Mus musculus: one gene and its partners. The protein of the gene in region 4 interacts with the protein of the main gene of each other region in a pairwise test. Links are inferred from orthologs where the notes say so. Each region holds a gene or a part of one and is shown on either strand. Other genes may lie near its edges. The genes, in order: Nufip2, Ammecr1, Ubqln1, Efemp2, Creb5 and Il16.

Region 1 (4,210 bases), on a different chromosome or scaffold from region 4:
GTCCCAAATAAATCTAGCTTTTAGATTTGACACTGCAATTACTCAACATGTTTTGTCTCCTGTGCCCTCTTCTGGATCCAGAAAACCAGTTTCTCATAGCTTTGGAAGTAATGGTTCATAAAAACTTGTTAAGTATTTCCCTAGCATTTTCTAGATTTTTTAGCACAGTACCCAACGACCAAACCACATACGGGAAAGCCGCTGAGCCCAACTGTTAATAACCTCTAAATTTCCTAAACCCAGTTCCCTCCTCATTCTTCATCCCAGGTTAAGACACATTGTGAGGAGGGCCACCTTCAATGAATGGTTCAGGGTCTGCCTTTCTATGCAGTGAGGAGCCCTGTGGGGAATACATAAACCTCATAAAAGACAAATTCTGAATCTGTGAACAATACCACTGGGCAACCTTGATACTTTCTCACCTCATGAAAAGCAAAACTAATACAGTTACATAATTCCTAAGTTTCTAGGCTGCTGTAAATCCTTACAATTAAACACTTCTGCTCTATCATCAGTCCCTACTACCCTACAAAAGAAAATCTGATATCCACTCAGCTCTGCCTTCAAAGTTATATTGTCTACAGTAAGTTTTTCACCAGTAACTTACTTGTATTACTTGAAAGACTAAGTTTAACACTTCTTTCTTCATTCCCTTTTCAGTTAAAAACAAAACAAAACAAAACAAAACGTGTGAATATATAAACTTTGATGCTTATTTTAAGTAGCTCAAGGCTCCACATTTAATGTTAAATAATACTCAGTTAGGGGATGGAAGTCGGTTTTAAAATGCACCAAAACGCCTCTTAACCACCAAAAAGGTCTTGTCCAAGGTAAAGGGCTGGTGACAACCACATGGACAAGTCACTTCCAGTTCATAGTTAAAGAAACAGGAAAGCCAAAACTGCCCGTGTTGTCCCACCCATTAGAGCATCGGATTAATCCCTCCCACAAAGTCACTACCCAGCTCAGAAGTTTAGGTGTTCGGTGGAAAACGAATGGAACAAAGTTTGAGAGGTTGTTCCCCAACCCCCCCCCATTTTTTTTTTTTTTTTTTGGGTAGGAAATGCGCTGCTATAAAGAAAAAAGGCCTAAGTGAAAAAGCCTCCGAGGCGGAGTCGTGAGCGAACCTGGCAGGAGATGAGATTCCTGTGGCAGAGAAACTCGTGACCCGGGAGCTTGGTTCCCGCTGGGTACCCCACCCGGCCTCAGGCACCGCCTCTCCCCAAAACGAATCCCCCTCGCCCCTCGCAGGCCAGCGGAACGCTACGGCCACGGCCGCCGCCCGGGCCTCCTTCCCCCTTCAAGCTCCTCTTCAAGGCCCGCTCCCCGCCCGCGCCTCCCGCCGCACCCGGGAGCGGGAAACGCGGCCGTCGGGCGCGCGGGGCCACGGTGCAGGCCGCTCCCCTCGTGGCCGCTTCCCTCCCCCACCCCAACCGCCCCCGCCCCTCACCCCAGGGACCCGCCCGGGGCCGCGCGGCCGCCACCGGGTTACACAACCCCGGCGCGGCGCGGCGCGGAGGGGGAGGGGCGGCGGGCGGCGGCCGCCCGCAGTGCGGGGGGGACCCGGAAAAGGGCCGCAGAGGGTCCCGGGGCAGCCGGGCCGGCGTGCCGTGTGGCCTTCGGCACCCTTCCCCCTCCGCTCCTCCGCCGGCCGGAGTCGGTGACAGGAATCAGCTTCCAACATGGCGGACAGGAAGCGGCCCCGCGAGGAGGAGAGAACATTCCAGCCTCGCCGGCTCCGAGGCGAGCGGGCCAGGGGCGCCGGCCTGCGGAGAAGCCCTCGCGGACAGACAACGGGGTCCGGACGCGCAAGACGGGCGTTTAGGGGTGGAAATGACCCGAGGGACGATAGGGTCCCCCACACACCCAGACGGCAAACCCCAAGGCCACAGGTGGGCTCGGGGCGGCGGGTGAGCGAGGACGCTTCCTCAACTTAGCCCTCAGCCCCGCTCGTCGCCGCCTGCAAGCGGCTCTCGCGACACCACCCGCATCAGGATGGATTCACTAGGCCTGAATTACATACACCTCGGGGGAATTTTTTATTTTATTTTTTTAGGGCGGCTGAGTTTCACCCCCTTCTTAGGGGCCCCCACATTCAGGCAACTCCAGGGCCCGCACTAGAGGGGAAAAAGAAGATGAAGGCTGGACTTCCAAGGCCGAGGGCACAGCTCTGCCTCCGGCCGGCCGGGGCGGGGACCGAGGAAGGTCACGCCGGCCTGGCTGGGCCTCTCCCATGCTAAAGGGAAGGAGAGGGCGCTGCAATCCCCACCTCGCGGCCCGGCCCGCGCCCGGGAAGAATGGAAGGGGGCATCCCCGGCCCGGCGGGACGCACACCCGGACCGGGTCCGCGCTTTTCCCATCTAGCCCCACCCCCATCGCTTCCCCCCCCTCCAATCCAGTCCCCCTTCCCCCACCGCCCTCCCTCTCAGACCTGTTTTCTTCTTCGGCGTTTCCTGGTGCTGCTGGAGGGTGTGTTTCTGCTCATGTTTCAGCGGCTTGGGCTGGGCCTTGGGGCTGCCCTCGGCTCCATGCTGCAGGTATTGGTGAGGCTGCTGGTGATGGTGGTGGTGGTGGTGGTTGTGGCTGTGGTTGTAGAAATAATAATGGTGGTGGTGGTGCGACTGCTGCTGCTGCTGCTGCTGGGGATGATGGTGCGGATGGTGGTGGCTGTGATGGTGCTGAGGCTGTGGCTGGCCGGGCTTCTCCTCCATTGAAAGCGGCTGGGACTCCCTGGCTGAGGCTGCGGGCTGCTGCACCGTCAGGATCTGAGACTGCTTCTCCGCGCTCGCTCGGTATATCTGAGCGCGTCTCGCCAGCGCACTGGTTAAGCGAGAGGATCTGCGAGATTGGCAGCCGTGCTCCAGCAATGAGGAGCCACGCTGCGCGTCAAGCCCCGCCCCTAGCTCAAATCCTCTTCCCTTCCCCTTCGCCACCGCCGCCTGGCCAACGCCACTTACCCTATGCAACCTCACAGGGCCGGGCCTTCAACGTCAGCATTATGGCTCTCTCTTCTATCGCTTTCTCTCCTTCACCACGCAGTTAGCGAACAGCACTTTCTACACTCCTCACACCGAGCAAGCTGATGTCGAGTGTAGCAGATTCCACTGACGATTCTACTGGCGCTAGGAGCCATCTGTTGGTTTTGCACCTCCTAGAATGTGTTGGGTTGTGAGTGTGTGTGTGTGTGTGTGTGTGTGTGTGTGTTTAATTCTTTTCCGGGTAGCCAGAGAGGAAAGCTCAATTTCCTTAACCCTTAAACCACGAAGGGGGCAATTCAAAAAAGAGGAAATAAATACATTTTTAAGAATACAAGAGCTTCACAACTCGATAGATCGTTTTCGTATTCTGGATTCATTTTGCTTTGTATTCATATGCTAATCTCTTCCTTTCCACGGAGGGATTATAGGGTTCCACAATAGGGTATCTGTGTAATTTTCTAAAAGGGGACAAAGGGCTTAAATCATTGTTTCTTTGTAGTTGAAAGCAAGAGAGAGGGAGGAATGAAAAAAATCTACACTGAAGTTTTTTGGGTGTTTTTGTTGTTTTTTTAATCAAACACTGCAGGTGAGGTCAACTATGGAACCAAAATAGATTTTAGACTAAGACTTTCAAAAGTGAAATAAAGGAGAAAGGAACCCTTTAAAAGTTCTTAAGGTTTGGGTTTTTAAAACATTTTTGTATTAAATTTAAGGAAAACATTGAAATGTAAAGGTGTATTTGCAATTTATGCTGTTAATTTAACCTGTTATGATAGGAAGAAGGTTGTGATAAGCACAGACACGGGGTACCCTCGAAATATATATTTGGGGGACTTGGCTAGGAGTTTTGTTTGTTTTGGACTGGTTTGTTTTTGAAACAGACTATGTAAACCTGATTGGCTTGGAACTACCTAAGTAGAAGTGTCTGGCCAACTAAGAGATTCCCCCTGTTTCTGCCTCATGAATGCTGGGATTAAAGTCCTACACACACCAGCATACCCCAGCCAATGTGCTATTGCTATTACATGAATAATTGCTTTAAAATTCATTAAATTAGATATACATTTGTCTATGTATTATAAGGGATTTTTTTTTTTTTTGGTACAGCCCTGGCTGTCCTGGAACTCACTCCTGTAGACCAGGCTGGCCTCTGCCTTCCAAGTGCTGGGATTAAAGGCATGCCCCACCATCACTGCCCTCCCCCCAAGGGAAAATTTAAATGTAAAGTTTAC
Region 2 (3,500 bases), on a different chromosome or scaffold from region 4:
AACCTGTCTGAGATAGCAAAGCAAAAAAAGATACCTAATATTGTAAGGAAAGAAAACTTCAAAAGCTGTATGTGCTGAAAAAAAAATTCAGTGATCTAAAATAATAAAACAGGATCTTCTTAACAAATGCCATTGTCCTACCCGTTACCATGATGCTCTTAACTAACAATGTCGAAGCTTCACCATGGCAACGGAAACTATCATCATAAAATGGTACAGTAAAAGAGATAGCTAGACCAAGAAGGTGTAGGGTCTCCTGGGAAGAGGTCTGCAGAGAGGCCCAGTGACTGGTTGTGCGGCTCAGTGTCAGGAATAATGGTTGTATGGCGGAAGGGGATGCCCGATGCCATTTTGGAAATGATGATGCTGGCGATGAGCAAGGTATTCAGCATAACTCAAGGTCATCTTTTCACTACGGTACCTGAAGGGGAAGGCGGGGAAGAGAAAAGTTAACATTGAGAAACACATGGTATGCTATTATCAGAGCCAGAGGGACTCTATGAGATCATTTTATATAGTGGGAAACAAGAAGCCATGAGAGAAGCAATTAGTAGCCCAAAGTCACAGACTTGGTAAGCAGCAAAGCTGAGATCAGAACACTGATCTTAGTGCTCTTTCTGCCCTTCTACTCCAGGAATGACATTGTCCCTTTTACCCACTTTGCTATCAGGAAGGAACAAGGAAGAGGCTATCTTTTACCATCATGTCTCTATCGCCATCATAGACACATCTCATTCATTGGGCTCCTTTTATAGCAGAGACCTTCCATCACTTCCCCCTTTACTCTTCCTTTGTTCACACATCTTGGGTCTGCTCTATGCTACACGTCAGTACTGAAGCCCTCTCACTTTGTCTCTATCTAGTTACTTGTCCACTACCCAACTTTTCAGGAGAGTAAGCACAGTTTCTCCCCTCAGGTTCTTTCTTTTCCTAGCAGGTGCTCAGTGTCCCTTGGTTCTGCCACTGTCCTTTCATGGCTGTCAGAGGCTCCTTAGGATTCTCTTTGGAACTTTCCATGATACTCCCACAATCCACTTGTTCTGTAGGCTCATGGATTTTACACCTCCACCTTTCCCTGATGCTGTCCCTGCTTCTCATCTCTTTGACAGCTGCTTCTATTCCTACCTTGCAGGATTTTCCTTGGTTCCACCATTCGCAGTTTAAACTTTACACTCTGCCCTCCTCCATGCACTGGGATCCCCACAGCTTTGACTTTGACCTGCTCACAGATTATTCCAGGCTATCAGCTCTATCATGAACCTTCTAGACTATATTTCCCTTTAGTGACATTTCCTACGTGCGCTGAAAGACCTGCCAAATCATAGTGCTTTATATTTCTTAGAACTGGCTTTGTACTGCACCACTTACGTGCTTTGATTCACAGCACATCTTCAGGAATCCCTTTCCTCCCTTGCTCTCTACCTGCCAAATAGTCTACTCGTTCTTTAAAGCCAGCCCTAAGTCCACCTCCACTTTGAAGTTGTCTGTTACCCACTGACTTCCTGGAGTTCCCCGTCCCTAGCACTATGATCCTACACATCTGTAATAGTCTGCCTTGTAGTAGTGATTCTTTTTATTCATGCCCTTCCATTCTCCTTCAACTATAAGCTTGAGAAGAACAGAAATGGGGACATTCTCAAATTTGTAACTGTGCAGAGCTGAGAACAATCCATTTTTTGAAACTACAGGCATGTAATACAATTTTCTGGAACTGAAATAAATGGAAACAGTACCCCATTCTTCTAAAATGTTCAATACTTTCCTTAAGTAAGAATCCCTATTATTCCATGTTGACATTTATTTAGCATTCACATTCAGCTCAATTTTGTTTTTCAATAAGCTTTCATAGTAGACTCCTATCACTGCCAAAATTCTAAGGTTAAATTTAAATTTTCGGACTGCTTATTGGAATCCTGGGGTTCTGCTAGGCGACGTCAAAAGCTTGTGAATAGCTAATTCTAGTACTTTCTCCAGCAAGGTAGTTTCAAGTCTCACAGGGCTTGCTGTACAAAGCCCAAGTCATCGTATGGAGCTAGAGATGGAGAGGATGACTTCGGGTATCATGCAGGCTTTACTGCACAGCAGACTTCCGGTGTAGCCACTCTCAGGACACTCTGCCATTTGTTTCCACTATTTTAGACAAGAGAAGCAAGGATAGTTCGAGAGTCTTAAAAAAGAAAATCAGGTATAGGCATATCCTTCAAAGTCCACTGGTTAGTTACAAACTGCCATCCCAGCCATCCCAGTACCTGGTCAGCTTTATGGTTTTTCTGAATTCATTAGTAATTGGAGCTTTGTATCCTCCTTTTCTCAGTAATGAGTCTATGGTCTGAATATGGTCCCATCCTGTGCAGAAGAAGCCAGATAAAATATCAGTTAAGCAGTGTCACAAAAGCACCTTTGGTTAAATACAGAAATGACTTGGTAGAGGTCAGCTATCCCTGTCACCAAATGCCATCAATTCCTTTGGTCCTAAAAACCAGTCAGATAGAAGAGCTAACATTTTATCCTTGTATAGAATCAGGTCCATCACAACATGCCTTAAATTGTCTAAGAAACTACTCAGTCATGTCTCTGTCACAAATCACAACCAGGTACTCTTCTCTAATGGTCCTACCTTCAAAAAGAAGGGAAAGCCTAAATAAATAAAACATGACTTGTGTCAACTTACTAGTTGGGGCTCCAATCCCTATTTCATGGTGATTGCTGGTCTTAATGGTATCTTCTATGCTTGATAATCTACATTTGTGTGAAATATTCAATGAATACCATTGTTTCTAATATGAATGCTATTCTAATATCTTTATGGAGTTGGTAATCCTGCAGTATTAACACATTTTCTAAAGCAATCCAAATAAATCTTCACATAACTGCCTTAAAGATTAACATTTTTATTTGAGGTTTAACATTAAAATCTATTGTTATATCTCTCATATTTATATGAGCATACATGAGAAAAGCACATTTAAGTGCCTTCTGAAAAGATAAGTGCGATAGAATTTTTAAAAAGCATTTAAACTAATGTAAACTTAGAATTCAGTAGTGGCTAGGAAGGACAAACTACTATAGTGAAGTTGTTTGGTGTCACCATATTGGTTCATAAAGATGTGTGGCATATCTGTGAAATAAAATTATTTTTGATTACGAAGTGTAGAGTAAACATAAAAAACTTCATGTTTTCACAACACCCCCAATCTTAATGGAAAGCTTATAGTTTCACTATTAGCTGAATGAGTTATGGCAGTCACATAAGAATTGTTAGATACTGACAATGAATGACATCAAACTACATTTGATGTAGTTTCTAAACCTAAGGCCTCTTAACGCCATCAAAATTACTGCACACTGGTGCCTGGAAAACTGTGTTACAAAGCAGTAACAAACAGCTGCCTAAAATAAACCCCTAACTTCTACAAATGTGTGCCATTTTAAAAGTTTGCACTTATGAGGATGCTGTCAGACATCAGTGAAAGGTGCAGATTCCATGTGAGTAATTAACC
Region 3 (4,144 bases), on a different chromosome or scaffold from region 4:
ATAAGTTACCTTAGGAAAGCCTTACTTTTATCCATTAAAGTCATTTTTAGTTACAGCATAGTAAAACATAATAAGCTTCCACAGAATTCATAATTCTAGTGTCACTATTACAAAAACAAAGAACCCACAAACCTATAGATGCCCACCTAAATAATTTTTCTATTTATAAAGCATTATTTCTAATGTCCAAAAATAAAATGTGGAAGCTGCCAGGAAGATGGAAAACTAAACTGGGACTCTCAGGAAGACTCAAGAGCTTCCTAATTTAATATGTCCACACATTCACTAAATAGTTACAATTAAAAAAACCAAAAACGGCCGGGCGTGGTGGCACACGCCTTTAATCTCAGCACTCGGGAGGTAGAGGCAGGCGGATTTCTAAGTTCGAGGCCAACCTGGTCTACAAAGTGAGTTCCAGGACAGCCAGGGCTATACAGAGAAACCCTGTCTCAAAAAAATGAAAACAACAAAAACAAGAAACCCTGCTCATACCAAATATTAACAAGGAGACAGAGGGACAGGAGCACACACCCATATGATGTTGACTGAACTGCAAAATAGTACACTTTTCAGGTTTCTTATAAAACTAAACAGAACTGGCAGGCCATGGTGGTGAATACCTTCAATACCAGCACTTGGGAGGCAGATGAGTTTGAAACCAGCCTGGTCTACACACTGAGAGTTCCAGGACAGCCGGAGTTACAGAGTGGAAACCTGTCTTTTAAACAAAACCAAAAACAAACAAACAAAAAACCCCAAAGATCTAAAGTGTAACCAGAGCTCTTCTAATACAGATAAAAAGCATATGGTCTCTAAAGGATTTATATGAGGCTGCTGTTCTCAAGAACTACAACCAGCTGAAAAAACCCTGGCAGATTATGGCACATTCATGGAAAGGCACTGAGCAGTTAAGTACTGAGCTGAGGACTTGGTTCAGTGGTAGACTGGAGGCTGTGCCTAGTATGCAGATCTCTGTGGTGGGAGGGGTACAGACCTTCTCAAGGATGAATCTCAAAAAAATATGCTGAGTGAGAGAAAGAAGAAAAAAAGCCTTATCCAAAAGACCACATTAGAGAGGACTCTGTTTATGCAAACTCAAACTCTGTTGGGAAAATAAAAATCTTCAGAGGTGACAAAAGCTCGACTGAAGAGAAAACGGAAGACGAAAAGTGTGCCGTCAACTGTAACAGACTTCAGCTGTCACGTGCTTGGCTGACACAGGTGTAGACGGGTCTGCAAAAACCAGCAAAGGCAACCATGTCCCATCATCGCACCTCAAACATAAGTGGAATACCATTTTTCAAAAAAAGTTGTTCTCAAGCCACTAACACCCATGCTGCTTGCCGACCTTATAAGGGTAATACTGATATTTACAACTTTAAAGTGTATTTTTAGAAATAAGAGATGCATGATGCAGAAAAGGCTGGAAAATGTCAATTGTGGGTGACATACAGACCTGCTGGGAATATAAAGAAGGTAAAATTTTTTATAGCAGCGTTAACAAACAATGGTAATGATCCAATCAACAAGAGTTTCTCTCAATGGTGCCACACACCCTCCTGCTTCAGAAAAACCCGACCTCACCTTTGGAACTAGATAAACCTTGAGAGAACTTAAAAGTACATTCCAGTGGTTGATACTTTGCTTCCTCGCATAAGACTGTTTACAATGTTTGATACTGTCAACAATTCAAGTGCCCTAGACTGTGTTGAAACATACATGATTGGTTCTCCCAAGGCTCTTAATTAACTGCAAGGCTTGTTTGCCTGAATAGACTTTAAAGCAATTACTTGATAAGAATTCCCCTTATCACCTACTGTGCTTTCTTGCAGGTTCCTTGCAACCAACTGCTAAGACCCAGCTAGGTGTCTGTCTCGTCTCCCTAAAGATCAAACAATAACCTATCCGATGACTGGCAGCTAAGCGATGACGGAAGTATTGTAACAGAAACAGCAAGTCGCCAATGAATCAAAGTCATTTACTTTTCTCCTTTCAGGCGTGAGCTATCACAATGCGACTGAAAACAAGTTCCACGTCATAATTTTTATATAGGAGGCTCGAAGATGGGAAGGAGTTCAGCATTCAAAACCGAGAACCAACCCTCCACGTGCTTCTCACTCCTAAATCTCCCCAATTAGCAGGCAGGTGAAACAATGACCCCCCACCCAGCCTGGCCAAAGGACGAGCGCCGCCCGCGCCCAGCCGCCCCGCAGCGCCCGGCCCTTTGTGAGAAGTGGGGGCCCGGGGCCCGGAGCTCGGCGGCCGCGGCGCAGCCCAGCCCAGGCCGCGCGGCTCGCCCGGCCCGGCCCCGCACAGCTCACGCAGCGGAACCCAGCGGGGTCCGACCGGAGCTGCCCGGGGCCGCCGCCCGGCCAGGCCGCCCTTCCCGCCCCGTCAGCGACGCGGCGGCTGCCCGGCCGGCGCCCTCACCTGCTGGACCGAGCTGTTCTCGGGCACGGCAAACTCCTCCTTCTCTTTAGGCGTCTTCACCGTGACCTTCATGATCTTGGGCTCTGCGGGGCCGCCGTCGGCCGCACTGTCCTGCGCGCCCGGTGGGCCGCCGCTCTCTGCGCTCTCGGCCATGGCGGTGACTCAGGCGAGCGCGACACTGCGGGCTGCGGCCGGGTCCGCGAGGCGTGACAGGCTGCGGGGCCGCCGAGGGTGCGTGGACGCGGGCTGCGGGTGCAGGCCCCGGGTGGGCGATCGGCTGCCGTGTGGACGCGGGGACTCTCCGCGTCGCCGCCGCTTCCTCCTCCCGCACCTCCCCCACGCTCGTCGCCGGCGCCGCGCAGGGCACTCTGGGTAACGCGCTGGTAGCCGCGCCGACTCCTGGCGGCCGGCCGCGCGAGGCACGCCGGGTAGCGCGTTGGCCAAGGAGCCGACTCATGCATGGCAGCGCTCGATCCTTTTCTAGCCGGCGGACGAAGCGCGGGCTCCTCAAGGTCGATGGAGTGCTGGGCATGGCGGGAGAACTTAACCCACTTCGCGTCTCCCGTTCTTCGTTGAAAGAAATGCAAACGGGGTTTCTGCCAGGCACCGTGATGGTGCGCTAAGATGACGTCACGGCCAGCGAAATTGCTAGAAACGTCTGGCCCATTGCTCACGGTCCCGGTATCCTCCCCACCTGGTCCCCGTGGGCGTCTGCTTATGAAATAGCGGCGAGCTACTTTATTTTAATAAGCGTAGTGTTGGTGCCCGGGTGGAAGGAGTTGCGATTGCCTTGTCTTGTGCTCGGGGCTTGAAAGCTAAACCCATGGAGAAAGGTCTTTAAAGGACCGCGAAACAGACGCCAGTGAGCAACCAATGCATCCACAGGTGCTCACTGTTTCAGTGAGGCCTGAGCTTCCCTCCCTGGAGTCAAACCGGTTTGGTCAGATAGGGCAACCCATATTGTCTGTCTTCCAAGCTGCGTGGGGGCAGAAACAGAATGCCTAGGACTGTCCGCCCAGCGGGTAGGAGTTAGCCTAGATGATGTGTGCCTTTTGTATTCTGTCCAATTAAGTTACTGTACACCTCGGGCTTGAGGTGGCATCAGAGATAATGGCTGAAAAAGTATTTTCGGCATAATGTAGGCACACATAAGTTATTTCACATATGGATCCCACGTCATTTATTCGTAAAGATAACGTGTAATACAGTCCAGCACTTTATATTAACCAGCATTGCACAAATGTGAACTCTTGACAGTGTACCGTGACCCAAATATGCAAAGGCATTCCATAGTTCTGCTCTTGGGCCATCGAACCCTGTTCTATGATTAACTGTGGTTGCATAAACACTTCTTAGCAGAGCTCTTTGAAATCTGGGTCAGAGTTTCAAAGTATAAAATGGCAATACGGCGTCACTTGATATCACTTACATTTCTGCCAGCATTGTTCAATCACAGGAAGAAGTTATAAGCGTTATGTCTAGGTGTGAGAAAATTGTTACTTGGGGTAGAAAGTTCCCCCCATTAGGCAAGCAAGGATTTTGGAATTTTCATATATATATATCTTTCCAACTTTATTAGTTCCCCTGTTGTATGGTTTCCCTCCATGCTGTATTCTCCCTAAGCACTAACCCAGGCTGCCTTCCATGATGAACCACCCCACACACACACCTTCCCCCTCTAACTTTCTGTTTTCACATCACATTCCCCTGAAAG
Region 4 (2,332 bases):
GGGCGGGGATGAGGACCCTGGGCCAAGGGGAGGCCTCACAACTGAGTCCCACAGACCTTGACCAAGAGAGAGGGAGCCCAGCACCCCCATAAGGATGGATGTGGGAAGAGAGAAGGAAAGAAGGAGACCCACAGTGCTCAAGGGGGGCTCAGGTTTCAGAGGAAGGTTGGGGGCTGGGGATAACTCAGTGGTAGAGTACTTGCCTAACACGCTTGAAGCTCTAGGTTCCATCCCAGCAAGGAAAGGGAGAGGAAAAAGAAAAGAAAAAGAATAGAAAGGTTTGAAGCTTGGCATGGTGCTATATGTCTATAATCCCAGCATTTGGGAGGTAGAGGCAGGTGGATTATACCAAGTTAAAGGCCAGCCTGGTCCACATAGGAAGCCAAGCCAGGATTATATCAAGATCAAGGCCAGCCAGGGCTACATAACAAGACCATGCCTTGAAAAACAAACAGTGGGGTGTTTGATCCCAACATCTGGGAGGCAGAGGCAGAAGCAGGCAGATCGGTTTGAGGCAGCCTGGTCTACTACATAAGAGACTGCAGGCCAGCCAGGGCTACACAGTGAGACCCTGTCTTACAACAAGGAATCTTCCAGCATGCGGAGCACCTCTCTTCCCCAGGACTTTAAGACTTAACAAAGCATTCGCCTAACATAGTGGCCTGTGCCTTTGATTCTAGCACTACCCAACAGATCTCTGTAGACTAGCCTGGTCTACACAGAGAGCTTTATAACAGCCGGGGTTACATAGACTCTGTCTTAAAAAGCAGCAAGAATCTAGAGGCTTGGGCCTAAGTCCTACTAACCCATTTTAGAAAGGGTCCACATTGTGCCAGTCAAATGAGCAGGTGCCCCAAGGGGATAGCCGCTCTGTTCTTTTCAAGTCTTGCAATATGCGGTCAGAATGCCCAGACTTGGGCTAAGTGTGTGCCCCCCACCCTACCCCGAGCAGCATCCTATCTCTTTGCTTTTGTTCCTTTCACACAGCCGAACACCAATGATCCTGTGCTTCCCGGTAAAGCATAAAGTAAATGAGGGCATGCCAGGTAACACAGTGAGACGCCTGGGCTCACACCCCAGCCCGGCTCATCTTTCCCCTCTGAACTTGGACAGTCATGTCAATCTCAGTAAGTGGAAAGATGAAAGTCAGTACTTTCTCTGACCTCTCTGCTTGCTTTCCACAGTTCTGCCAACCTGGAGGAATATTAATGTCCTGTTTTACAAAAGTCAATCATCCCTGGCCAGACTAAATGAGACTGAAAATTTTAAGTGATAAACAAATGGTGCTTCCCACTATTTCTGCCTGAGACTTGATGAAGCCTGTTATCACTGCCCCTAATACTCAAATAACCTGTCTGCAGTAGACATGTGCCCAGAAAGAAGAGAAAACTTTCCCCAGTGTAGGATTCCAATGCAAGTCAACTCAACTTTCAGGAAGACTGGCACCTCCATCTTCTCTGTCTCTCTGGCAAGCTTCAGAAGCCCCTAGCATAGCATCCCCTCAAGCTGGGAGTGCCAAACGACAAGCTCAAGACGGAGCTTAGGGAGGCCTGTGAGTGCAAGGAGACGTGCGGAAGCCCCAAGCAAATGACCATGCGCCTGGAGTTGCTCCAATATGTTGCAAGTGCTAAGGGAGGCGGCAGAGGGGGGGGAGGCGGGGGGGGGGGGGATGCTGTATCCAGTAGCACAAGTGACTCTCACCGCTGCAGGAGAAGCCATCCCGGTGCAGCTCATAGCCCTGGTTACAGCGACACAGGAAGGTCCCATAGGAGTTGAAGCAGCGCTGCTCACATGGGGCTCCCATGTCACACTCATTCACATCTGAGGGTGCGAGGACAAACAGGAGGGTGAGAGCAGTGTCACGCCCAGACCCCCCCAAACACACACACACACTCAACTTGGGCTCAAGAAGAAGATCCTGCCCCCACGTCACACATCTCCACCCAGGATCCCAGAACCTTGTCTGGCACAGCCTCACCCACACAAGAGCGGTTGTTAGGTCCCAACTGGAAGCCTGGCTCACACTGGCATCGAAAAGAGCCCGGCAGGTTCACACATCGATGCTGGCAATAGCGGTAACGACACTCATCTATGTCTGAGATGGAGGTGGGGGAGGGAAAGTAGAACACAGGCCAGGTGGGGCCTGAGTTGGCTCACCTCGGCAACCACCCCTGCCCGCCCTCGTCAGCGAGCTGGGCTGAGTCACCCACATTTAATCTTCCGTGTCTAGTGACAGGAGTGCACTAGTAGCAGAGGACTGGGGTGAGGTAAGGCATCAGACCAGGAGCCAGACCAAGGTCACAGAACAAGAACCTAGCAGAGCCACTCAGAA
Region 5 (3,999 bases), on a different chromosome or scaffold from region 4:
GGCTTTCTGTTAACAGAGCTTATTATTCTGAAGACGGGAATGATTTTCTTCGAAAGTTGTCCCTGGGTGCATGCCTATTATCTTTGCTGTTCCCCTTCCACTAATGAGCATTTATCTAAAGAGCCTGTTAATCCTCTGATGTGTGCTTCTGGTCAGAGGTAACAGTTTGAATAAAACCACTAATCACTGATCACTAAATCAGTGATCATTAATCACACTGTCCAGGGCCCGTGACCTGCCCATTTTCCCCTTTAGGTCTCTGCATCACAAACAAGAATTTTAACATTTTCAATGCCCATGCTTCCCATAGGAGACTTATGCCACTTCATCGCTAGATGCCAATAAATAATGCTGCCACAAACTTGAAGAAGGGGTGTCAAGCGATCTCCAGCCACGAGCTCCACAAAGCCTGCTCTATGGCCAGAGTATGTTGGAGAAAGTAGATCTAATTATAACCAAACACGTGTTCTTCAAGAATGCCACCTATTTAGAACATAAAATTTCCTCTACTTAGCTTCCTCCATCTCCAAATCAAAACGCCTTCAAACACCTTGTCCCCCAGCCCAAAGCTTCTGCCTCTGTCTGTTTTTACTGGATTTCTGCTATCATTATTCACTCACGCCCAAAAGTTTTCACTCTTTGTCCCCGAAACAAGTCACACGTGGTGGTGTTTTTGCTGCTGGTGTTCTTTTAAAGAGCAAGTGGGGAAGAACTCAGTTCTCTAAATTGGGCGTTTAACTTCCTCTACAAACATAGAAACTCAAGGATAAGGATAAGAAAGTACCGCGCGCAGCAGCAGCAAAGTGTTGTATGGTACTTTCAGCTCTCAGACACTTCCTTGACTTTGGAAATAAAATGTCAAATCTAGATCCTTTCCCGCTAAACCTGATTTAGTCAGGTCCTTCATCCTTCTCCTAGGCTCGGTTCACGGGGCTCTGGGCTCTTAGCTGTGGCTTATTGCTTTCCTAAGTCACTGCAGGCACAAGCTATTAGCATATAAGGCTTCTAAACCTTTCCAGGGATTTTTCTATCCAGGCTGAACATTCTCGCGTGGGAAAAACGGGCCTGGATAGTGCCTTTCTTAAATAATAGAAAAGGGCAGATTGAGCGTTCATCAGGTACTGAGCTCGCTCAGGCACCAGAAGCTCTTCAGCTCACTCCTGGGACAGCATTCCCCCTGGGGGAAACTGTAAAAGGCGGGGGCAGGCCGAGTGATAACGAGGTGGGCGGGAGAGGGATGGAGGAAGAGGGGTAGGGAAAGAGAGGGCAATAGCTGTGTCCAGAGAACCCGCAATTGCCCCGGGGGATGGGGGCATAGTTGCTTTGACAGCATTCTGAGCCCCCAAACCCTTGAATATCTGAAGCCCTTAATAAAACACTTACTGGCCTGCAGAATGACGTAATGGACCTGTAGCCAGCCTTTATTCTTTGACACATGTCAGGAAGAGGGAAAAATAAAAAACCAAGCAAGCGTTGCTGATACTGACAACGATGTACAAGTAGCCCACTCTAGTTCCCAGCGTTGAACCAGCATCAAGTGGGGGCGGCACTCGTCCAGGGAAAGCTGGAGCTTTTTCTACTAGACACTCCCTGGAAATAAATCTATGACTAGAAAATAAATGAAAAATTAAAGCGGGCTATAGTCCCTCTAAAGTGGCTTAGTGGGGGCGGTGTCTGCTTGTCTCAACCCTTTAAGAACTTTGTGAAAAGTTTAAGCGGTTCGATAAAGAATCTGGCTCAAAGGCAGACTCTGTCGCCCGGTCCTGAGAACCGCCTGGGTGCAGTGCGGCTCGGGCCCCAGCTGTCATTTGGGGCAGCAGCCCGGAAGAAGTAAGAGTGCCAGCGCAAAGGGGACGGAGGCGGGAGGCGGCTGCAGGAGTGAAGGCGAGGGCTGCGGAGCACTCTCGAGCTGGAGCGCCTGGAGCGAAAGTCAAGTCCCCCTCCAAGGCAACCGACCCTCCCGCTGCAGCCGGCGGCCGGTCGCGAGAACTGGCAGCGGCCGCTGGGCACCCGGGAGAGGGAGAACCCCCTGCGAACTCGCTCGGCTGCCCCTAGGTGACCAGGCGACTTTGCCGCAACGGTTGGAAGTTTGCTAACTTTCTCCCGGGGTTCCGCTGCATCACTGAGAAACGGGATGCGAGGAGGCTCCAGGTTCCTGGTCTGTTGCTGCTGCTGCTACCACTGCCGCCTCCGCCGCCGCCACCACCACCGCCGCTTGACCACACTTCAGAAGGGTTCCACACCATGCCGGGGCTCTGGAGGCAAACATACACCCCCGATTCATAACTGTTCCCCGTGTCAGGGAAACTCACGCGCGCTCCCATACACGCACGCACACTGGGTCGGACACGGCGCTGGCTCCACTCAGCATCCCTCCAGTCGCACGGCGCAGCAATCACCAAGAAGCGCTCCGGGACGGACACGGCGTGGGGTCTCTGGGTGACTACAGGACACAGCACAACTCCACAGTCCACCAGCAATTGGGGCCGGACTTCCTTCTGATCCGCCAAAGTGTTTACAAACACAAATCAAGGGGGAAAAAATGCATCGCATCCTTTCTACTCCTTGCCCTGTGACCTGCCCATTGGACTAAGTAACCTCGCGGCTGCAGCGATGAACCAACCCCTGCAAACAAGGACGCTCCGGAGTCGGCTCGCGCGGCAAGTGCAGCGAAAGTGGCTAAATGCAAAAGGCCCAGAAGTGGCCGCGCCGTATTTTTAGGAACTTACCAAACAAGTGTGGAGAAGGCAAGAGCCGAGCCCGGGTGAAGGGACCACGTTGGACTGAGCAAAGATTACAATACATTCTATTTAGAGTGCATTACATCACCCCCCCGGTGACGTCACGTGGGATTCCTGAACTTCTAAATCATTGCGGTCCGTTGGGGAAAAGGAGGGAGAGAGGGGCGGGGCCCGCACGCCGAGGGGGCGGGCCCGGTCTCCGCCCCGCCCAAATCCCGCCCCTCGAGCGGACCCGGGTGCTTGCGGCGGCGTCCGCGATCGCGCAAGCAACAGCTTGCACAGCCCAGCGCCGAGTAACACGGCCCCCCGACATTAGTGGTGTGAGTCAGCTTGGAAACAATCCTGAAGGTTTCAAACAGAGCCACGCAGGAGACACCGGCACGAGCTCTTCTGCAAGAAGTGTCTGTAGGGTCAGAAAGAAGTAAGGTTTGGGGTGTGTGCATGAGGTGGTAAGGATGCTGAAGGAGGTAGAAAGAGACATTTACACTTACAAATGCAGGCCACTTCCTACTTCCCTACCCCAGCCACCGAAGATACCCAGATCCTTTGCCTGTGACAGCCATGACCTCATTGCAGCGTTCTCTGCATGCTGGCTTCTTAGTATCTCCATTTCGCCGCCCCTCTCCTCATCACGCTCAAGGGCATATAACTTCTTGTGCACACTCAGTAGGACTACACACAGCCTTCCCTGGTCTCGCACCTTGCATGTGCTGACCTGTGAGAGAATCTCTCTAAAGGCGAAAGGCGAATCTCAGCCAAGAGCCAAATGATGAGCCGGATTTAGACTCCGCGTCAGCGCCGGAAGGGCCCTGGCCATTGCTTCCAGAGCCTCTGCTACTGGCCCAAGCTCGCCGGCTGGGAAGCAGTCGAGCCAGGGCTAGAATACAGGATCTAGGGCCAGGTCTGCAAAGGGAAAAGAGGACTGACCTTTTTCAGCATGGGCCAGAAGCCACCGCTCTCACCTTCCTCATCCCTGGCAAGGGCTAGATTTCCTTTTGGAAGCTCTCTCTCCCTTTGGGGAGCATTGAAAGCCTGTTCGAAATGACCACTGTCATCCAACAACAGCTCACACTTTGCCAAACACTTGAAGCCACACCATTTTCTTCTTCCTCATATGACTTTGACAGAATAAGGAAAAGCGGGGAGTGTGTTGTAATTATCTCTATTTCACAGCTGAGCTGAGGCAGACAGACTCAGAAGGCTAGGAGCTCTCCTGATCATCAGGGACCACTCTAGCGCATGTCTAACCCCAGATCTC
Region 6 (4,165 bases), on a different chromosome or scaffold from region 4:
ACCACACAAAAATCCCAGCATGGATGGGGAATGTGGGCAGGAACTCCCACTCCCACTTGAGAAGCTATTGATGGCTGCTGGGAGAAGAAAGCCAGTTTACTTTAAGAATCTGACCACTGGTAGGTCAACTACACTCCAAGGTATGGCCTCATACTCAAGAGACTTGGGCAACACAAATGGAACTTGATAAGCTTTTTTAAAAAGACTCAAAAGTAAGTGGGTAAGAAGGTAGGGATGGATCTGGGAGGAACTGGGGGATATGGGGAGTGAGTGGAATCAAAATATATTACAAAGAAAAGTCTAAACAAATTGAAAAATTATTATTTAAAACATTTTTCAGTGCTTAGAACATTTATTGAAGTAAAAAATGTTGGAACTAAGCTGACTAGAAGACATAGTAAGTATTCCAATTTCTGAAATATAGCTGTGTGTCATGGAGTGGCAACATGCTTTGTGGAGGAGCTCAAGAAGCCAAAGTCTGACCTTCAAAACCTACTGAAGCCTTATGTGTCTTGGTTTTGTTACCTGTCAAATGGGATGATAACAGAGGCTACTACTCATAAAGTTTATGATAACAAATGGAAGGATGGAAGTTTGTTCTCAGCCCTGTGTTAGTTGGTTATTGTCACTATGCTGGCCATCTTTGTCACTATTACTTAAAGTTAAGTCTCCTCCAAAGCCTTCTTTGTCCACAATCTATTGTTATATAACTAGTTAGTTCATTTGGTTTTTTTTATTTTGTACATGTTTTATTTTGTACATATTTATTATGTAGAGAGACACATAAAACCTAAGCAGTTGCTGAGACACAGTCAAAGCCTTCTTATTGACTCAGAAGGTCATTAATTGAAGCTTTGATATCCAGTTAAACTCTGTTCTTTACAAGAGTATCATGGTTATTGTCAACTAATTTTCAATTTTACATCTTTTAGTTTCTTGATTTTTTTTAAATTAGAAAATCCCAGCTTAATTGTTTTGTAGCCATAGGAATGTGTCTTGGACACTATTTGTTGGCATACGTTGAGGCCGACTTTGTAAGATGGCATATGAGATGAGTAAGTATTATAAGTATTTCTTGAGCTATCCCCATGTTCAGAGAGAGGCTGACAGCGCCTATGTCCCCTCCCATGTCATACACACATACTTCATTATCTCCTTTTGACACTTTTCAGTGTTGGAAAAATATTGCCCAGCTATCACCTGTGCAGTAAATATGACAGTCCCCTGCCTCCTTCAGCAACTGCTATGACCATTCCTGGACTTGTGTGGTTTGGCTGGGAGTAGCAAAAGCCACCCTTGAGGGATGAGGAACAAAAGGAGATGGACAGACATGTGAGACTGGACCAGCCAACTACCTCTGACCCTTACTGTGGCTTGAGGATATATTCATCCAGTTAGGAGAGCATAAGGTAAGAAAAAGAGAGGAGTGCTCATGGCTGACTGAGCCAGGAGTCCTTACCTTGGACAGCAGGGAGATAGCCACTGTGTCCAAAGAGAAGTCAGGCATACTCCAGGCTACAGGGCCACACCTACGCTCTTCTCTGCCCCACTGAGGCCCTAGAATACTGCTTTTTGGGCTTTTATAATCTGATTCAAAGTTTGAGCTTACATTTTATATCATGGTACACATCATTAACCACACATAAGATACACAGATAAGTAAATGTTTATGAATTCATAAATAAACATATATAACTAAAGCAAGACAGCATCACATTAATACCATTATTATGTTATAAATAAAACCACTAGAAAGTTCCTAGAATATATGACTGGGAGAGAGAAGCCACAGGGGTAAAGCACTCGCCTTTTAAGAATAAGGAGCATAGAGAGTTTCAAACCTTAGCACCCACAGGAATGCACAGTGGGTGTGGTAGCCTGCCTATAACCTCGGCACTTGGGAAGCTGAGCCAAGGCATTCCCCAGGGCAAACCAGCTAACTACACTAGTCAAACAGATGATCGGAGGAAGAGCCTGCCTCAGCGACCAATTGAGGAAGGTGCCCCACACCAACTTTTGACCTTCACGTGCACAAGCACACACATACACAGACACCCACTCACATGTGTGTCCTCACACGGGAACACACACATATATACACATTCTATACACATATACAAGCAAGAAGATTGATTTTGTGAAGAATCTTATACATTTGTGAATCCTATTCATTTTATATGTAAAAGAGAATTTCTCATTAACTGTATTGATTTCCAGTCTACTTGAGAGTCATGTTGGAAGCCAGGAGCCTGAAGCTTCCTTTGATGCTTCCAGCCGGGTCCTGTGGTATATGGCTTGGAGTTCTCATTTCCCCAGATTTCCTGAGTCTCTCTCCATGTGCCCTTGAGTAGCTAGCTGACTCTGGTTGTGACCGACATTTTTCTGTCACTTTTGGGGGCTAAGTTCCCTGCTGGTCTTTTTCCTATGCTGAGGGAAGTGTGAGGAAAGGGCTCAGAGTTACTTACAGTTAGCCCGGCCAGGTACGAGATGCCATGAGCAGAGGGGACGGGGTGATGTTGCCTGACATCCCAGCAGCGGGGTGCGCCTGTAGATGTGCCAAAGAGCATATTGGTGGTGACCTCCTCCAGCTGGCAGAGCAGGGCAGCCACATCCTAGCTGCTGCACCTGTCCATTACAGATGCACTTCTGCCCCCACAGTGCAAGACCCATGAAGAATCCCTATTCTGCATGGATCCTGACATCTGGGTCACAGTGCAGGGAGCTAGTAGTCTAGGAGCTGCTTCTGTGGCATCTAATTCTCTCCCCCAGGGACGAGTGTCGCAGGCACCACAGCTCCTGGTTCTCTGCCTTCCTTTCCCCAGGCGGCATGCTCACGCACAAGCTGCGCTCAGCAACCCCATCTGCTCCGTGCTCTTTTGGGCAGGGACCTCTTCATGTTTCTGGCAGACACCAGGCAACCTTGTCTAATTACAAGACTGACATAGATGGGTCCTCATTTCAACAGAGATCCGAAAGAACTTGGAGTCCCTTGCTGATTCGAAGCGCCTCCCAAACAGAAACATGGGACTCTTGCAGCCATTTGTTTATTTTCACTGCCTTGGGTTTTTGTTCCCCACGTATGGCGCTGTGCGGCTGCTGACAAAGAGCTGTGTTTAAGATGAAGAATATCTCACATATGGAAATATATTGCCAGTCTCAATAGGCATTGCAGACACAAACAATTCCTTCTCCTGATAAAATGTGTGTGTGTGTGTGTGTGTGTGTGTGTGTGTGTGAGTGTACTTTCCTGTGCACACACTTATGGAGGTAAGAGGTCAACACTAGCTGTCTTTCTTCTGTGGCTAGCCACCTTATTGTTTTAAGACATGATCTCTCACTAAACCTGAATCTTGCTGTTTCACTTAGGTTGGCTGGCCAGGCAGCCCCAGGATCTCTCTGTCTCTGCTGCCCAGTACTAAGCGTATAGACATAAAAAATGGAACCTACTTTTACGTGAGTACTGAGGATCTGAAATCAGGTTCTTGTGCTTGAAGAGGCATCTTCCTGATCCCTAAAATTACTGTTGGTGTGCCCCAACCCGCACAATAATCAGTTTCTATCATGCACTGTGATTCAGGCACCTGGACCATATGGGATAAAGCACGGTTCTTCACAGCCTACTGGGGACCACAGACACAGACAGATACCTTTCTAGTGTAGGAACTTTTCCAGCAGAGACTTGAGTTATGGCTGAAGCAACTCTTTGAAGCATCTCACCAAGGACCTACCCATGAGCAGAGACTTGGAAGGGGTCACAGGTAGGTAGCATGACCCTTCTGAATTTGATTTAGACAAATCTATTGGTGGCTGTAGAGCCTAGGGATGTGGAAGAGTGAACAGCAATGCCATAGCCTATTAAAGTTTAAGATGCCCCTCAGAAATATGACCTCACTGTGTTCTTATCAAATTCAATTCAAAGGGCTCCTCGACCTTTTCAAGTTCTTGGGTCTCTCATGGTGGGATCCAGAAGACATGGATGGAGAGAGTTGGCAAGAGGACAGGACCTCAGCTTTTGGCTTTCTCCTAAAATAAATCTGCTTTAGTTCTTTGTATATGAGTGTCTTAGTTAGGGTTTCACTGCTGTGAACAGACACCATGACCAAGGCAACTCTTATAAGGACAACATTTAATTGGGACTGGCTTACAGGTTCAGAGGTTCAATCCA

Evidence for each region.
Region 1: the proteins of Efemp2 (region 4) and Nufip2 interact in binary tests that used the Homo sapiens proteins (3 or more experiments, as listed by UniProt). The two-hybrid records come from large-scale screens. The link is inferred for Mus musculus from reciprocal best matches to the Homo sapiens genes EFEMP2 and NUFIP2.
Region 2: the proteins of Efemp2 (region 4) and Ammecr1 interact in binary tests that used the Homo sapiens proteins (3 or more experiments, as listed by UniProt). The two-hybrid records come from large-scale screens. The link is inferred for Mus musculus from reciprocal best matches to the Homo sapiens genes EFEMP2 and AMMECR1.
Region 3: the proteins of Efemp2 (region 4) and Ubqln1 interact in binary tests that used the Homo sapiens proteins (3 or more experiments, as listed by UniProt). The link is inferred for Mus musculus from reciprocal best matches to the Homo sapiens genes EFEMP2 and UBQLN1.
Region 5: the proteins of Efemp2 (region 4) and Creb5 interact in binary tests that used the Homo sapiens proteins (3 or more experiments, as listed by UniProt). The two-hybrid records come from large-scale screens. The link is inferred for Mus musculus from reciprocal best matches to the Homo sapiens genes EFEMP2 and CREB5.
Region 6: the proteins of Efemp2 (region 4) and Il16 interact in binary tests that used the Homo sapiens proteins (3 or more experiments, as listed by UniProt). The two-hybrid records come from large-scale screens. The link is inferred for Mus musculus from reciprocal best matches to the Homo sapiens genes EFEMP2 and IL16.

The regions. Positions count from the first base shown.
Region 1 is NC_000077.6:77,684,729-77,688,938, reverse strand, and holds the start of Nufip2 (nuclear fragile X mental retardation-interacting protein 2), read right to left. Parts: upstream 2,801-4,210; 5' UTR 2,712-2,800; coding exon 2,432-2,711; intron 2,384-2,431; exon of another isoform or gene 1,128-2,383; intron 653-1,127; exon of another isoform or gene 608-652; intron 1-607. UniProt on the Homo sapiens protein: Binds RNA.
Region 2 is NC_000086.7:142,855,227-142,858,726, forward strand, and holds part of Ammecr1 (AMME syndrome candidate gene 1 protein homolog), read right to left. Parts: intron 2,347-3,500; coding exon 2,250-2,346; intron 422-2,249; coding exon 307-421; 3' UTR 1-306.
Region 3 is NC_000079.6:58,212,854-58,216,997, forward strand, and holds the start of Ubqln1 (ubiquilin-1), read right to left. Parts: upstream 2,801-4,144; 5' UTR 2,584-2,800; coding exon 2,431-2,583; intron 1-2,430. UniProt on the Homo sapiens protein: Plays an important role in the regulation of different protein degradation mechanisms and pathways including ubiquitin-proteasome system (UPS), autophagy and endoplasmic reticulum-associated protein degradation (ERAD) pathway.
Region 4 is NC_000085.6:5,477,690-5,480,021, reverse strand, and holds part of Efemp2 (EGF-containing fibulin-like extracellular matrix protein 2 isoform 1 precursor), read right to left. Parts: intron 2,096-2,332; coding exon 1,979-2,095; intron 1,822-1,978; coding exon 1,702-1,821; intron 221-1,701; exon of another isoform or gene 204-220; intron 1-203. UniProt on the Homo sapiens protein: Plays a crucial role in elastic fiber formation in tissue, and in the formation of ultrastructural connections between elastic laminae and smooth muscle cells in the aorta, therefore participates in terminal differentiation and maturation of smooth muscle cell (SMC) and in the mechanical properties and wall integrity maintenance of the aorta.
Region 5 is NC_000072.6:53,286,104-53,290,102, reverse strand, and holds the start of Creb5 (cyclic AMP-responsive element-binding protein 5), read right to left. Parts: upstream 2,801-3,999; 5' UTR 2,730-2,800; intron 2,729-2,729; exon of another isoform or gene 621-2,728; intron 615-620; exon of another isoform or gene 1-614. UniProt on the Homo sapiens protein: Binds to the cAMP response element and activates transcription.
Region 6 is NC_000073.6:83,729,599-83,733,763, forward strand, and holds the start of Il16 (pro-interleukin-16), read right to left. Parts: upstream 2,801-4,165; 5' UTR 2,671-2,800; coding exon 2,466-2,670; intron 1-2,465. UniProt on the Homo sapiens protein: Interleukin-16 stimulates a migratory response in CD4+ lymphocytes, monocytes, and eosinophils. Primes CD4+ T-cells for IL-2 and IL-15 responsiveness. Also induces T-lymphocyte expression of interleukin 2 receptor. Ligand for CD4.